Oreochromis niloticus: one gene and its partner. The protein of the gene in region 2 purifies or fractionates together with the protein of the main gene of each other region. This does not show direct contact. Links are inferred from orthologs where the notes say so. Each region holds a gene or a part of one and is shown on either strand. Other genes may lie near its edges.

Region 1 (8,008 bases), about 8.9 Mb from region 2:
CACCTCTCACTGCAAACCTGCTGCCGCACACTGTGATCCAACCCCAGCAAGCAACGGCTGAAATATGGCTGACTTGGACACTGTGTTACAGGAAATAAAAGACTTTCGCCAAGAAAACAGTGCAAAACTGGGGAGATGAAGGAAGAAATCCTAAAGGTGAGCGCCAGACTGGACGAGGCTGAGGGGAGGATCGAGAGCACCGAGGTTGCCATGATTGAAAAAATAAAGCTACAGGTGAAGGTGGAGGACAAACTGACAGACCTACAGAGCCTTTATGCTGTACCCGCGACAGCAGAGCGGGCTCTACAACAATGAGTGAGTTTGTTGAGAAGTTGCCGCGGGAAGGCCTGGGCTGTCCCAAGATAAACTTGACGTACGCATCGAACGGGCGCACCACCCCCAGGCGACGCTCCCCTGCGATCTATTATTGTGAAATTCCTCAGCTTCAAAACAAAGGAACTGCTGCTTCGTAAGGCATGGCAGAACAGAGGATTTACCTCCAACCACGTGAGTTTGGACCATGACTAACCCCCCGATTCTAAAAAAACCAAGAGAATACGCCAACGCGTGCAAGACTCTGAAAGAGCAGCAGATCCCCTCCAGCTTAGCTAAGGTGAAATATACCGATAAACAAAGATTTACAACACAGCGGTGGAAGCCATTAAGGACATGTCCAGTAGAGGCTACGCTGTGAAGATCGTTAAATCATCAGAAACAGCTTGTTTACAGAACCATCAGTGGATCAGGCAGAGACAGTAAGAACGGCAGGAGGGGACCAGAGAGTAGCACTGTTCACCGACGACCTACTACATCCTGTCCCACACAGGCACTCCCCAAAATCATGGAAATGCTCTCAGAGTTTCTCAGGATACAAGGTTAATGTAAACAAAACGCAGGTACTAACTCTAAACTACGATCCACCAATCGAAATTAAGAATCGCTGGAAATGGAAATTAGGTACGTAGGGGTGGTAATACATCGTGATGTCACCAAAATGTTTGATGCCAACTATGGTCCTGTGAATGAATCCATAAAATCTGATATAATGGAATACCATCCCTAATTGGACCTACACTCTAGGATTGAATCCATTAGATTAAACATGCTGCATTTGTTTCAGTCGTTACAGATTCCCACACCACAAAAAGGCCATTGATATGTCTCTGTTGTTTAGATTACACTGTGGGATGGAAAGATCTGGAAGGAACAAATGTTAAAGTAATACCAGCTACAGCTTTAATATCAGACACAAAGCTACAGAACAAAACAAACCTGCCAGATGAACCCATCCTACAAGTAATGATATCTGCTTGGAGTGAAGCAATAAGAATTTGTGGTTTGAAAATGCCTCTAAAGTCTTTAGATGGAGCATATATGACTCAGACTTTACCCTGAATCAGTGCGATAAGAGCTTCAGGAACTGGATTCCAAAAGGCCTAACTAATTATTATCATCTGTCCACAAGGGGGCGTTTCAAAGCTTTGAAACCTTAAGGAGAAAATATGATTTAAGCTCAGACGATTTCTTCAGATATCTACAGGTCAGAAATTATTTTAATCAAGACCTGAAAGTGAATATAAACAATCTACGATTTGTAGTAACATTTGTATCATTAACTAATTCTGGAGCACACAATAAAATCATTTCCAGATTATACAACAGCATCCTGTGTAAAAACAAAAGCACTGTTTGTTAAAGTGAAGTGGGGGAAAAAAGCTAACCTGACCATTTCAGAGGAGTGCTGGGACCACATATGCATACAGTGGACTACCACTGTTGTTTGGCGTGAATTTTGCTGGAAAAGCATCATGAGATTCTTCATCCCCCTGCTCAGAAAAGGTATCTGGGAACTGGTGACACTTGTTGGAGATGTGGAGGAGATGGTGCTAACCATTTCCATAATTCCTGGGACTGCCGGATGTGAGTAAACAGGCCCTCACGAGGAGATGGTTCAAGCCTGACTGAAGACTGGATATATTCTGTAGAAGACATCTATACCATGGAAAAACTGTCTTTCTCTCTCAAAGTGCAGACGGATACCTTCTACAGAATATGTTTGAGCCTGTGAGGTGGGATTTTCTATCAAGCCTGCCACTTTTATGCTCGTGCACTGATTGAAATACCCATGCTAATAACGCGAAGCTAACTTGGCTACCCCACTACCCCCAACCCAAGTTCTTACGGGGGGGGTTTTCAACTATAAGTTTACAAATCTGAAAGCAAAAGCAATGTAGAGAGTCATACTACTGTTATGTTCAATGTACTTTCTTACAGTTTTTTCTGAATGCTTAAACCCTAACTGTGATTCTTATAGCACAATTTCTAAAACTATTAATACTTATGGCAAAACCACTCACTGAGTTTGCAAAACTAAAAGCACAAACACTGCTTTGCACTCAGTTTGCCATTTTGTAACACACACTTTGCAAACCTGTAGCTACAATCCACTGCACAGCACTCTTTTTGCAGAACTGTAAACACACAACTCACGGCTTTACACTCAATTTCCAAATGATCAACACACTCCTAGCAAAACTTTACACATTTATAGCCATTATTTACACTATTTTGCCAACTGTCTGGCACACTGTCACATGTGAAAACTTTTTTAGATCATTAGATCACTTTGCAATCAGCCTAAGCACTTTAAATAAGCTACAGGTAAGCTCTGTGTGTGTGGAGTACAATGGAGGGAGCAGGAAGAGTGAGAATTAGAGGAGGCCAACGGGTTCAGCCTAACTCGAGCCGCTACACTGTAGCAAGCATCATAAGGACATTTTGAAATGAGAGTCGGTTAGTACAGTCACTTTGCACTAAGATCTGTAGCACTGCCATGCTAATGAGAAACACAACAATACCATAGATGTAAAAATACTGAAATTGTTACTTTACAGAATTGCTAGACGACCAGATGCTGGGAGCAGAGGAAGCATGTTCACTGCAGACCAAGAAACCCATATAGTCAATATGGTGATTGGAAATAATCCTATACTTGGAAATAAACACTTGTGTTTGTTTTGATGTGTGTGAATAAACAGCAGTACTTGAAGTTTGGATCCCTCTATGCTTACGGATCTATGACAAAAGTATGAGCTCAATCTGACATAGCCTACCTTGTGCACAGAGAAAGCAAAAGCCAGATGTGTTTTCATTCATACCATCAGTGTGTAGTTGGTGCATTGTGTGCTTATTAATATGATGGCTTGTGTTAACTGTTGGATACGAAAATACCATTTTTACAAAGGTGTGGAGAGTTAAGCAAAGGTTATTCGCTTTTACAAGGAAACTACAATGTTTTGCTGATTGGGTGAAGAGTTTTCTTATTTGTGTGTAGAGTTTTGCAAAAATAGCCAATAGTTACAAAAAATGTGCTTAAGCCATCAGAAAAAACTGTAATAAAAGAGTTTTTTTTTAAAAAAGAAAAAACTGAAACACCAAAACCTGCAGTTCCTCTAACGTCCACCTGGGGCTCCACCAGCGAGTTATTCCCATAGACTCCAATGTTAAAAAGGTTCAAAACAAGCAAAGCCTCTGATTATGATTTTTCAGACATTTTATTGATATACAAAAAACAAACATGTTCACACAGGTGACATAACACTGATGTTAAAGCCAGATCACTCCTCCTCCTCGCCCCCTGATCTCTGTAAAGCAGTGTTGTTCTGTCAGGGCAAGCAAGGAAGGCGGTGCTTACCCAATGAAAAAACAAACTGTTATTTCAGTATTTTGACTTTTTCAACCTTAAGTGACCGTATTTGGCATATCTTGGTTAGAAAGTTGGCAAGCTGCATTCACAGAGCTTATGCAAACATCACACAAACACATATCTGCTAATCAGTGCTCAGTAATATCTGAACTGTAGCTCCGCCTCCTTGGATGCTCTGTTTTAACAGTGACCTCACAGCAGGCATATTATTGGTCACATGATGTCATTAAAAAGCTCCAAAAGGGTCCAACAGCACAAACAGGGTCCAGGGGTCCAGTTCAGGGACTCCCATTAGTTAAGGTGAAGCCTAGCAGACAGCTAGCTGCTACAGCCACCTGTACCACCATCTACCTGTCAGTCAAAGAGGCCACGCCTCTAATAATGCAAACTTTAAGCCTGAATACAATTTGAACAGGTGAGTAATAGAAACGCTCTTCCGTGTACAGCTGTTATGAAGGAGTATATGATCCACAGAGACCAAACTGTTTGTGTATCAGGCTGTAAACAGGTTTGTTTTAACATGGGAGTCTATGGGGCCTGACTCGCTGCTCCCCCTGCTGGACGCTGGAGGAGCTGCAGCTTCTTACTCTTACAGGCTCCTCCTCACTCACCTCCCTCTTCATCGCCTCCTCCAGGCTCTCCCCCACCTCCACCCTCCCAGCAGGAAGATACCACTGTTTGTAACAGTCCGGTTTGGCCTCCTGGACCATCAGCACCTCCTCCTGAAGGAGTGTTAATTAATTAAATAAGCAATCATTTAAGGGTATTGATGAGACGGAGTGGCTACCTGTGGTGACCTCTGTTCACCTTCTCATTGAAGATGACAGCACAGACGATGTAGGTGACGTTCTTCCTCAGGGTGGCGGGTTTGCTCTGCTCCAGGCCCACATCACACACAGTGACCTCTGACCCCTGCCCACTTAAAAGCCTCTCCACCTGCTCCTCCACCTGCTGCTGTTCCTCAGCTGTCATCTCCATGTCTGTAAGAGGAAGAACAGAGAGCGTCTTCATCAGCTAAAAAAAACACCGCAGAGCTCGAGGCTGTGATTGCAAGCGCGCGGAGGCTCACCTGTGATCCAGGTGTGGTGTTTCTGGTGTCTACCAGGTGTGACAGACGCTGGGAGAGCTTCCTCTCTTACTGTCGGATCTGAATCCTGAAAACTGTAGTTCACTAAAAGTACTTCGTTACTTTCTCCGCAGGTACCGGCGTCATAAATCGCCGAAGCCTTCCCCCCGGAAACAGATGCCGGTGATAAAAGCACGAGCCCCCCTCCTTCAGCTCGCCTGTCTTGACATTTGACTCCAGAAGGTGACACCGGAAGTGCTACTAATCTTCCTGTTCCGCGCCGCCGCAGTAAGAGCTTTTAACCCACTCGAACAGCCCCCCCCCCACGGGCGCTTTGGACGGTCCAGATTCAGATAAACACATCAGAAGGTAACTGAGCTCTAACCAATCAGGAGCAGCGTTCTTAAAACGGGTATGAGCTTTAATTTGTCTGTGTGCGTGCTTTATTGTGAAAATCTGACCCGGAAATCACGTGTTTTGTAGTTTGTCCTGGTCGTTGCGGCTGAGGCCGGTGTTATAACGCAGTAAGGTCACAGAGGAGCTGCTCACAGAGAGCCGGGAGACGTACCTGTGACGGTGGAATAGGACAAACAGGTGAAGCAGCGGAGCCGGTCCGAACCGGTCTGAGCGGAACTCCGTCAGGTAAACAGGAAGTTGAACTGATCGCTCTCACTGATCAATCCTCTGAGGTCCAGCAGCCGCTGGTGTTGTGCCAAAGACTGATTTCCAATGTTTCCGTGTATTTTTTATGTGTAATATCTTTACGTATGTTGGTAAATAGACTTCGGTGAACAGCGTTTACAAAGGGGTTTTATATAGAATTAAAATATTATCTGTTTTTCAAGTATCTTTACAACTCTGTGTTATTGTACTTACATTATAACCAATCCGCTCCTTTATCCCCACTTAAAATATTTTTACAGAACTATTGTAATATTTGCTGCCATCTCTGCTGTCCTGTTGGCCAACTTACTCTTACAAAAGACATTTTTAATGTTAATGAGATTCTTTTTAACTGCATAAATAAAGGTTATATAAAAGTCACTGGCAAAAACTGACTGCAGCTTCTACCTTGGTACACAAATGTTGTTTGTGGCTCCAGATGACTTTATGTCATCCATGAGGGATGCATTTGACATATGTTTCACATATTATAGCCCAACAAGTTACTTATAGCAGTTTAAATACGAGCAATCAGTTTTTGGCAAATACCGGCTGTGGGTTACTTTCATAAGCCATAGCTACTGGTAATACTGCGTGTAGTACTATAATATAAGTAATGCTAATACTACTGTATGTGTTACTGTAAAAACTGTTACTCAGGAGGGTCAAAGGATGGGCATCCAATCAGAATCCAAAGATCACTTATTCATGTTATTTTAGCTGAAATGTGTTTTAGCGAGAGACAGACACACCTAAACTCTGTTGTTGTTATAACGTGTGCCAGGTGAGTTCAATTATCACAGAAACCAATCAGGGATGAGAAAATCAGGAGAGGCAGTCAGGTAAAAAAAAAAAAGTACGGAGGAAGAGTCTTTACTGAAATAAAAACGTGCTTTTACGTGCAGGTCGACACCTGTGTGAACAGTCTGGGCTCACGTGCACGTTCATGCTTGTGCAGGAATATGAAACACACATAAGTACAGCTGTGTTTGTGTTGTTAGATCTGTGCCTTTGTTAAAGATCAGAAACAGCGAGAGCCAAAAACGTGTTCCTTCATCAGAACTCCAGTGAATGCATTCTGAATAAAAACAAGCAGGTAAAAGGAGAAGATTTGTTATATTCAGTCTGGCTCAGGGGAAACTGTGCTGCTGTTGACCGAAGTCCGAGGAGGAGAGGAGGAAGGCATGTTAGGAGGCTGAGAGAGAGAACATGAGATAAAGAAGGATTATTTTGAACTTTGATTGATGCAAAGCTGTTCTTGCAGGATTCAAATGTGGAGCTGCAGGTGAGCAGATGCCTTCTGTCGTGTCTTCAAGGTGTCAGTTTCTCCTGTGGGAGAATAAAACTAGCGACCGTGACGTGATGAATCTGCCTGAATGCTGTTTTGTTGTTCGGTTCTCTTTGTGTTCTTCCTGCAGGCAAACATCTTCTTTAAGACCCTGAATGAGAAGAAACGGGTGAAGCTGAGCCTCGTGGTGTGTTCAGAGTGGACGTGTGAGGGAGTGCAGCCGGAGACACGCCGGTGTTGGAGCGTCATGTGTGCGTAGCTGCCCTCTGATTGGACTCTTGTCTCTGCTGACTCGGTCTGATGTTGCGGCACAGTAAGCTGCAGAAGCAGGTCCTCGCTCTGTACCGGCAGTTCCTGCGAGCCGGGCGGGACAAACCGGGCTTCGTCCCCCGAATCCGCGACGAGTTCAGAGAGAACTCCCGCATCAAGAAGACGGACGTGATGCACATCGAGTATCTGTACCGACGGGGCCAGCGGCAGCTGGAGCAGCTGAGGGACGTCAACACCAAACAGCTGGGCTCCTTCTCCAAACCCAAAGAGTGCGGCTGAAACCGTGTGACCTCTGAATCGCACTGCCGTACCTCTGAAAGACGCCGGCGCCATCAAACTGCTGCCATCGTGCTCAGGAGACGGGCTATGAAGGCCGCAGCAGCGATAGAAGCTGCAGTGAAACAAATGTTGACAGTAATGAATTTTATCTGATGTCTGTAACAATAAAACGTGTCTGTGATGAAGACGAACTCATATTCTTCATATTCATGTTTAAGAAACTCAAAACCATCAGAGTTAATCTGTTAATGTGTTGATGACGGTCAGGCTTCATGTCTCCCTCTGAAATATCATTCATATTGTTCTTCATGCGTCTGCACTGCATTCTGGGTAGATGAAGAGTCATGTGACTATTTTTTTTTTTCAGGAATTAAAAAGAAAATTAAAAAGTTTGTTTCCAGGGGAACTGAAACGAGGGAAATCAGGTGTTTTAGTTTTTACACAGAAAATTGTTTAAAGGAGCTTAAATGGAGTCAGAGCAGGAGTGGGTTTAAAAAATCAGTCGATTTTAGTTTGAAGAAAGTGATTTCGATGCATTAAATCCTGAATCGATTTTTAAATGTAAATGTATTTTGCTAGAAACGCTAAAATCTCAGGTTAAATCTCACAAAACTATTTCAACAACCAGCAAACAGCCAAAACGGTAAACGAGAGCCGAAACATGTAAACAGAGAGCGTGGATCATTCACCTGACGTCACGGACGCGCCGTCAGGGCTGAAGAACGAAAGCTCAGTG
Region 2 (7,287 bases):
AAGTCCAAAAAACATGGACATCACCAAATGCTGTTTCTCCCATTGAGACCCTCTGCTAGTCTTAACTACTCACTTCCTGCTTGTTTGTACGTCTCTCCCTTCCATTTTATCTTCATTTAATGAAAAGCATGCTCTTCTATGTTGAGATCAGGTGACTCACTTGGCCATTGAAGAATCTCCCATTCTTTTGCCTTGAGAAGTTCTTGGGTTGCATTTGCACTATGTTTATCTGTTATCTGTTAGATGCTTGATCAGTAAACACTTGTGGGGCATATTATGTTCCTTCCAGTAACACTGCGTCTACCATGTTTGGCAGATGACGAGCCATTTCTCTTCCTATTATGACTTCCTTGTTCTTGAGTGTAACCAGTGTTTTGCATCTTGTTGTAAACCCATTCATGAGGGCATCTCTTGATTGTAGACTTTGACAATGATATTGCTAGATATAACAAAAGCGGTTTTCTTACCAAGTAAAGAGATCTACCATCTACTATAGTTGCCTTCCATGGTCCATCAAGGCTTTTGGTGTTGTTCAGCTGGCCAGTGCTTTTCTAATTTTTCATTTTCTTTTTTGAGTATTATGGTGACCCTATTTACTTGCAGCAATCTGACATCATATTAAGAACTCCAGTGAAAATCTACTAGATATTAGTTCAAAACTTTGAATGAATGTCAGATATTATATCTACTTAAAGTTTCATAAAATACACAAGGAATCAACCTCACCCTCACCATGACTGTGATTGTCAATCAACTGTCCAATTACTTATGAGCATCTGAAAATGCCAAAGCAGGTAATGCAATACTTTGTATTAAACCCATTGAATCAAAGTTGAAAGTTGAAAGGTGTCATTTTAACAGTTTTAAACATCTAAAATCTACCTTGGTGGTGCACAGAGGCCAAATTAAAAAGACTGACATTGACTGAATACCGATGGAACTTCCTTAGTGTAATTAGAGTTTATATGGTAAATGTATAGCGCTTTACTAGTCCCTAAGGACCCCAAGGCACTTTACACATCCAGTCATCCACCCATTCACACACTGGTGATGGCAAGCTACATCGTAGCCACAGCCACCCTGGGGCGCACTGACAGAGGCAAGGCTGCCGGACACTGGCGCCACCGGGCCCTCTGACCACCACCAGTAGGCAACGGGTGAAGTGTCTTGCCCAAAGACACAACGACCGAGACTGTCCAAGCCGGGGGTCGAACCGGCAACCTTCTGATTACAAGGCGAACTCCCAACTCTTGAGCCACGATCGCCCCATATAATGGGTCAATATACACAAACACAATCAGGACTGTTTTCACAATTAAATAATTGTTTCAGTGATCTTATTAAGCCAAACCGTCCAAATTTATTTGACTAATTAAGAAAATACTCAGCATATAAAACATCTTAATAGTCACAAGATCTTACCCCCTTTTTTCACTTTATTATTTTCAGGGGAACAATCTCAGCTACTTACTTTTCCTAATCTATCCAAATAAACTCCTAAGTCACAATTTAGCAGCTTGTGATCAAACCTTTTATCCTGGTGGGAGTTAGAAAGTGTCCATGCATAAGGCAAGATGAGTAATTGAATGAAAACTTCTAAACCAAAGTTAACTTTTGCTTTCTTAACCTGTATAAATATTTAATATATTTAATATACCTCTGTTTTTATTATTTTAGATTTTGCAGTTATAATGTAAAATGTTTTGGAAAGCAGGTCCTAGTAGGCACTTTTACATTTCACAGCAGGAAAGGCACAAGTGTAATTATCAACATAAATAACATAAACTCATGTTGGCTTACTGGAGTTGCCTCCTGGTTTTCATAGCTGAAATAAGCAGCCATGAATCTCTTCACATACACTGATGCAATTCAACATGTAAAGCTGTTTATATTACTAGACTGTCCATTTATACACTACCCCCCCCCGGCCCCCTTTTTATACCCCTTTTGTATTTTTCCCTGAGAAGCAAATGCTTGTTCATCTACACTGCTATTTAGTTTCAATTCCTTAAACTTGCTTCCTATGCCTTGAGCTTGCTTGGTAGCTTAACACAAACCAAGTTCCCTAACCAGGCCCTACATTTGTCAGTGTCTTTTAACAAGCCCATCTTTCTTACTTTGCCCAGAGTTACTCCCATGGCCAAGTCACAATGAATTATCATGACAAAACAAAAATGCACACACAAGTGGACAAATGGGGACAAGGGGTCAGACCCAATTTCCTGTGTCACAGGGCAACTAATAGAAAGGAAAGTGTTCTCTGACTCATAGACCATCTCACTCAGCAGATCTCTATTCCCCTTACATTCCCCCTCCCTACCATAGATTTCTGGCTGAAGTTGTCTGGATGAAGAGACCGCTGGAGCTGCAAGTATGTTTTCTGCAGCTTTTGTGTGTCCAGTGTGAATGTGTAGTCACTGAAAAAGGTAACACATGATAAAATGAATAGACTGGATTCATTTGGAAAGCTTTTTAAGATGGTGACATATGTTAAGGTAAACAAGAAACTCACCAATCCATGATCTTGAAGTAGGATGTCCCTTCTACAGGGGGCTGCACTGCTTTGCATGACACGCAGAAAAATGCAGGTCTTTTGTCAAGAAGATGCTTACAGTTCCAGCAGTTCAATTTAATTTGACTTGTGCAGCAATTCCTGGGTGAAGCGGATTGATTAGTGAAGTAAAACAGCTCTCTCTCCTTTCTGAGTGCTCTGAAGTTCATGTTGCTGTGCCATGTGCCCCTCCTGTGGAGGCTGGTAGACATACTGTAAGCTGTACATGTAACAGCTTTAGAAACAAGCAATCGGTTGGTGGTTAGCCAGCTTGGGTGCAGTACAGCCCGGGATGAGCCAACAATCCTCAAAGAGTTGACAGACAACATTTCTGGAATTAAAATGCACTACTCGCTGTCGTGCACTCAATAAATACACAAAATGTTCACTGTCAAAACACATCTCTTTCCGGAAAAACAAACGAAGAAGAGCGTTCTTCTTCTACGTTTTGTAACACTGTCACACTGCCGCCGCTCGGTGGGTTTCGAGTTCTTGATGGAAAACCAACAGCTAGCTGGCAACAGCAAACGCAATTTGTGAGGAACTATTGATAAAGTAGCCTTAGTTTTGGACGCAGCACACCAATTGAAGTAAGCTGAACACCTCACAAAATGTTCAGTGTTTGTTAGTAGTGTACTAGTGTCGTTTTAGGTGCGGCTTTTGCCGAGGATGTAACGATAACAAGAACCCCTGGTCTGCATGTAGCTAGCTTAGCTCACTAGCTGAACAGTATAGCTTAGTTTGCGAACATGTCTTAACAACAAAAAGCCTTTATTCGTGGTCGGTACTGACAAATAAGCTGGTTGTTGTCAGATTCCAGTTCACGGCCTTAAAAACAGCGTTTCATGTTATTTAAGGGCACATGTGAAGAAAAAAAGCACCCGGGTTTAACTTTATGTTGAGTAGCTTGCTCAGCTAGCTGGATGACAAAGGCATCCCATGTTATGGTTGAGCGGTGACAAAAACAAATTCAAACTAGCTTATTTTTATTATTATTTTAAATAATCACCCATTTAAGAAGCATCAGCTTAAAACATCACTTAATGCACGCTTGCGTAACTTTAATTGCCTTTTTCAGAAAGTCTAGAAAACTGCATTTTCATACCAATTGGGTTGTTTTGTTTTTTTCTTTCAGATTCAACTGCATTCTGACAAAAGAGGCAATGCTTCATGAAGAGTTCTGGATACTCAGTGAGTGGCTAGTCCGCCAAGGACATCATCAGGCACTGGAGCACAGATAACACCTCCAAACTTGTGAGTATTTTATTGACTAAGAGTACTTGTTGCTGCTTCATCGTCCAAGAGTACTTGTTGCTGCTTCATCGTCCATCCATACAGGCGGTCGCAATACAACAGCTGCTAGCTGTGTGAAGAAAAAAAATTCTCTGAACACTGGCCAGTGTAAATATGCTTATTTGGCCAAGAATCAGACTAGGCGTCTCGACTATTTGTCATTACAGTTTCCTACCAAAGTACAAGCTCTGTGATGAATGCCAGGTCTTCATTCTTGGTGTGTGTGTGTGTGTGTGTGTGTGTGTGTGTGTGTGTGTGTGTGTTTTTGGGAGGGTGCAAAAGCTGACTGTAGAGTATTCCAGAGAGACACTTGTTGGAGACAGCAGCTTCTATAAGGTAAACAGGATCTCTTCCTGAAGGTCGAGGGAGGTACTTCTCAAGGCCCCCACAGACAATACTCTGGGTATTATTAACGGAAACCGCTAAGAATAGAGAGCAGGGGAGCAAGGTGGCTCCTCTGGCGGTCACGTTGTTTGGGTTAAACAAGCCAAAACGGAACATCTTCTTAAGAAGAGTGACTTCTCGAGCTTTCATGCTGGGTGTGGCAATTTAGAGGGCTTTATCTGGCTCTGATGTACAGCAGAGGTAAGGGAGATTAGTTGTGGATTGCTCTTGGCTGTTTATGTATGGAGGACTTGTGCTTTACAATTGGAATTTGTAAGTAAAACAAATTTTCATACCTAATAGGACATTGTTAACCTATCATTTTACATAAGCTATGTATTATGTGACTTTTTTTTCAATTTAAAAATAATAGTTTTGGCTTGTCCAGCAATATCCCCCAGACAATGCATTACCTACCTACTAAAGGAAAGAGTCTCTGTATGTTTTTGTGTCTGTTTACTCAAACATTCATCATAAGGAAGGTGATATATCCTAGTATTGGGACAAAATTTTCCTGCAATGCATTTTTGTACAAATTGCAAATGAATAAATAAATGAATACATACATGTATGTATTTACTCAGACATACATGTTTGAGTAATCATGTCTGGTATGTCATTACTTGTGTTTCATAAGTTTGTCAGTTATATTTGGATGATGAATTGATTTTGTGTTAATCAGCTGACTTCACTTTGTGTGATCTAAAATTTTTGAGGAGATATTACTTTTTATTGGAGTTTGACTAATCTATTCATGTTTCTTCTTTCTGAAGGAAAAATTATATCAGACAGTATATTGGAATTGGATCGGATTTTTTTGAATCACCAAATATTGGTATTAGTATTAGTACAACCAATACAAAGCTAATAGCAAAGAAATCAGAACGATGTTAAATGATAATTCAAAGGATTTAATAAAAAGTGTTGGATTACCTGTTTTGGCATTTTCAGATGCTCGCAAGTTACTCCTTTAACGATGTTAAAGGAGTAATTAGCAGTCGGGCTTATAACGCTATAGCCTCCAAAGTAGCATTGCTTTGGCTACAGCATTTTTCTCTTTGGATCCTATTTGGGCTGGCTTAATTATCTTTACTGTCACCTTTGTGTTAATACCTACATACTAAAAGAAACATCTTGAGTGTGCCCTTGTTAGAGTATGGGTTTGTGGCATTTTGTGGGACTGTAGCATAAGGTTTATGTTGTTAACTCATGGTAATGTGACAGTGTACATTATGTCATACCACCTTGTTAATAATGCAAAAGTTATATAATGAGCAGTGTAAGGAATTCCTTTCTTCAGCGAGTAAATATGTAACAAAGTGAATTCATTTTTAATTTTGGTGACTGTATCCACAGCAGCTTAGTAAGGCTGTCTGCGTGTATCTTCCATCCAATTTGAAATTGTCTCACATGCTGGATTATGAGCAACTCCACTATCTGTTATATCACCACAGTTGTGATGTAAAAACGAATGAGTAATGAAAGTCGAGTTTCTGTTTAATTATTTAGCAATGGTTATTACATTAACATGTGTATGTGCTTTGTTCAGTGAACGTATTCATGGCCACCCCACCATAAGAACAATTTAAATCTGTGGGTAACTGTTCAAAATTCACATTTTGAGGTTGGTTACACACTTAAATGATAAATGAACTGGAACTTATATGGTGCTTTTCTACTCAATTTGAACACTCAGAATGCTTTCTTTCAACAAGTCTCATTCACTCAAGCACATGCACATCCATACAGCACTTTTTATCTAATGTAAAAAGCATGAGTGAGTGGGCAACTTGTATTCAGTGTGTTTTCCTTTAGCAATACTGTTTTCCCCTAAAATAAGTCATTTTGTGACTTACTCATGCTTCGTAAATTACATTCCACATACAATTAAATTAAAATGTTTCTGAACTTGAGTGCCAAAATCTTTTAATATGCATTGAAAACCCTGCTTCATTAATTGGCTACATTACTTGTAGAGGCCGAAAACCCCATGTTAAACAGATGGATGAATCTCATGTTGTCTGATCACTGTATTATTGTAGGGTCTTTATCTTACAATGTAAATTGCCTTGAGGTGGCTGCTGTTGTGCCTGTTTTAGTTTTGGTACTCAGATTTTGTGTTATAATTGGCATCAGAATAGAGAAGTGGAATTTATGTATTATTACTGCTGACGAACAGTAATAATACAACCTCTCACGATTAACAAGTGTGAAATTACTGCCTGCCTAACTTAGTCATTTATCACGTTTACACCTTGCATACATATTGAAGGCAGCTGTTTCTTTGCCTGTATTTTTTTTTCTTAACATAGGCAGCCCATTAATACTTCACCTTAATCTTGTAGGAGTAACTTAAGATGCAGATAAATTTAATTTATATTTTATTGATTGCCATTTGGCCCTAACATTTGAAATGACTTGTCTGGTATGACAGTCCTTTGAAAGCAAGATTAATTGAGCCTGCTTAACAATAGGTAAATCAATAACATGGTAGTCCACCAAGTAAAGTTAAACACCAAAGTCTTTGTCACAATCGCTATTCATTACTCCTGACAGCCTTCAAATTAACCATGGTCAGCGTTCTGATGTGTGCCCTTGTTAGTTAGAATTATAGTATTGATTTTTCTGCTAGGTTTTTTGTCGTCGTTTAGGCAAAGGTTGCTTAAGCACTACAGGGAAGGAGTGTTTAATTTGTAAACAGACATTTCTGTATTGTTCTGATGTTTGACAGGGGTCTTTAATTCAATACATCACTGTCTACATTCTCTACGTTCCCACAGATAAACCATGATCCCCATCACCGAGCTGCGGTACTTTGTGGACACACAGCCAGCATACCGCATCCTGAAACCTTGGTGGGATGTCTTCACCGACTATATCTCTATTGTCATGCTCATGATTTCTGTTTTTGGGGGAACACTGCAGGTCACCCAGGACAAGATGATCTGCTTGCCCTGCAAATGGGTGGTCAATGAAACCTGCAAGAAGAACTTCAATTCAAGCATCACATCATCAGTGCCCAAAGGGATCCAGTATGATTTGGACCGCCACCAGTACAA

Evidence for each region. Proteins that work in one complex are often made in the same cells at the same time.
Region 1: the proteins of hscb (region 2) and sdhaf1 purify together in Homo sapiens (co-immunoprecipitation; 3 studies listed by BioGRID and IntAct, with this or other methods). This does not show direct contact. The link is inferred for Oreochromis niloticus from reciprocal best matches to the Homo sapiens genes HSCB and SDHAF1.

Annotation. Positions count from the first base shown.
Region 1 is NC_031977.2:38,181,001-38,189,008, reverse strand, and holds the start of sdhaf1 (succinate dehydrogenase assembly factor 1, mitochondrial), read left to right. Parts: upstream 1-5,000; 5' UTR 5,001-5,141; exon of another isoform or gene 5,142-5,184; intron 5,185-5,255; 5' UTR 5,256-5,414; intron 5,415-6,853; 5' UTR 6,854-7,023; coding exon 7,024-7,272; 3' UTR 7,273-8,008. Other genes in the region: 8-oxo-dGDP phosphatase NUDT18, read right to left, coding at 4,318-4,428, 4,514-4,684.
Region 2 is NC_031977.2:29,299,067-29,306,353, reverse strand, and holds the start of hscb (iron-sulfur cluster co-chaperone protein HscB), read right to left. Parts: upstream 3,020-7,287; 5' UTR 2,881-3,019; coding exon 2,513-2,880; intron 2,418-2,512; coding exon 2,321-2,417; intron 1-2,320. Other genes in the region: lrrc8ab (volume-regulated anion channel subunit LRRC8A), read left to right, coding at 7,016-7,287.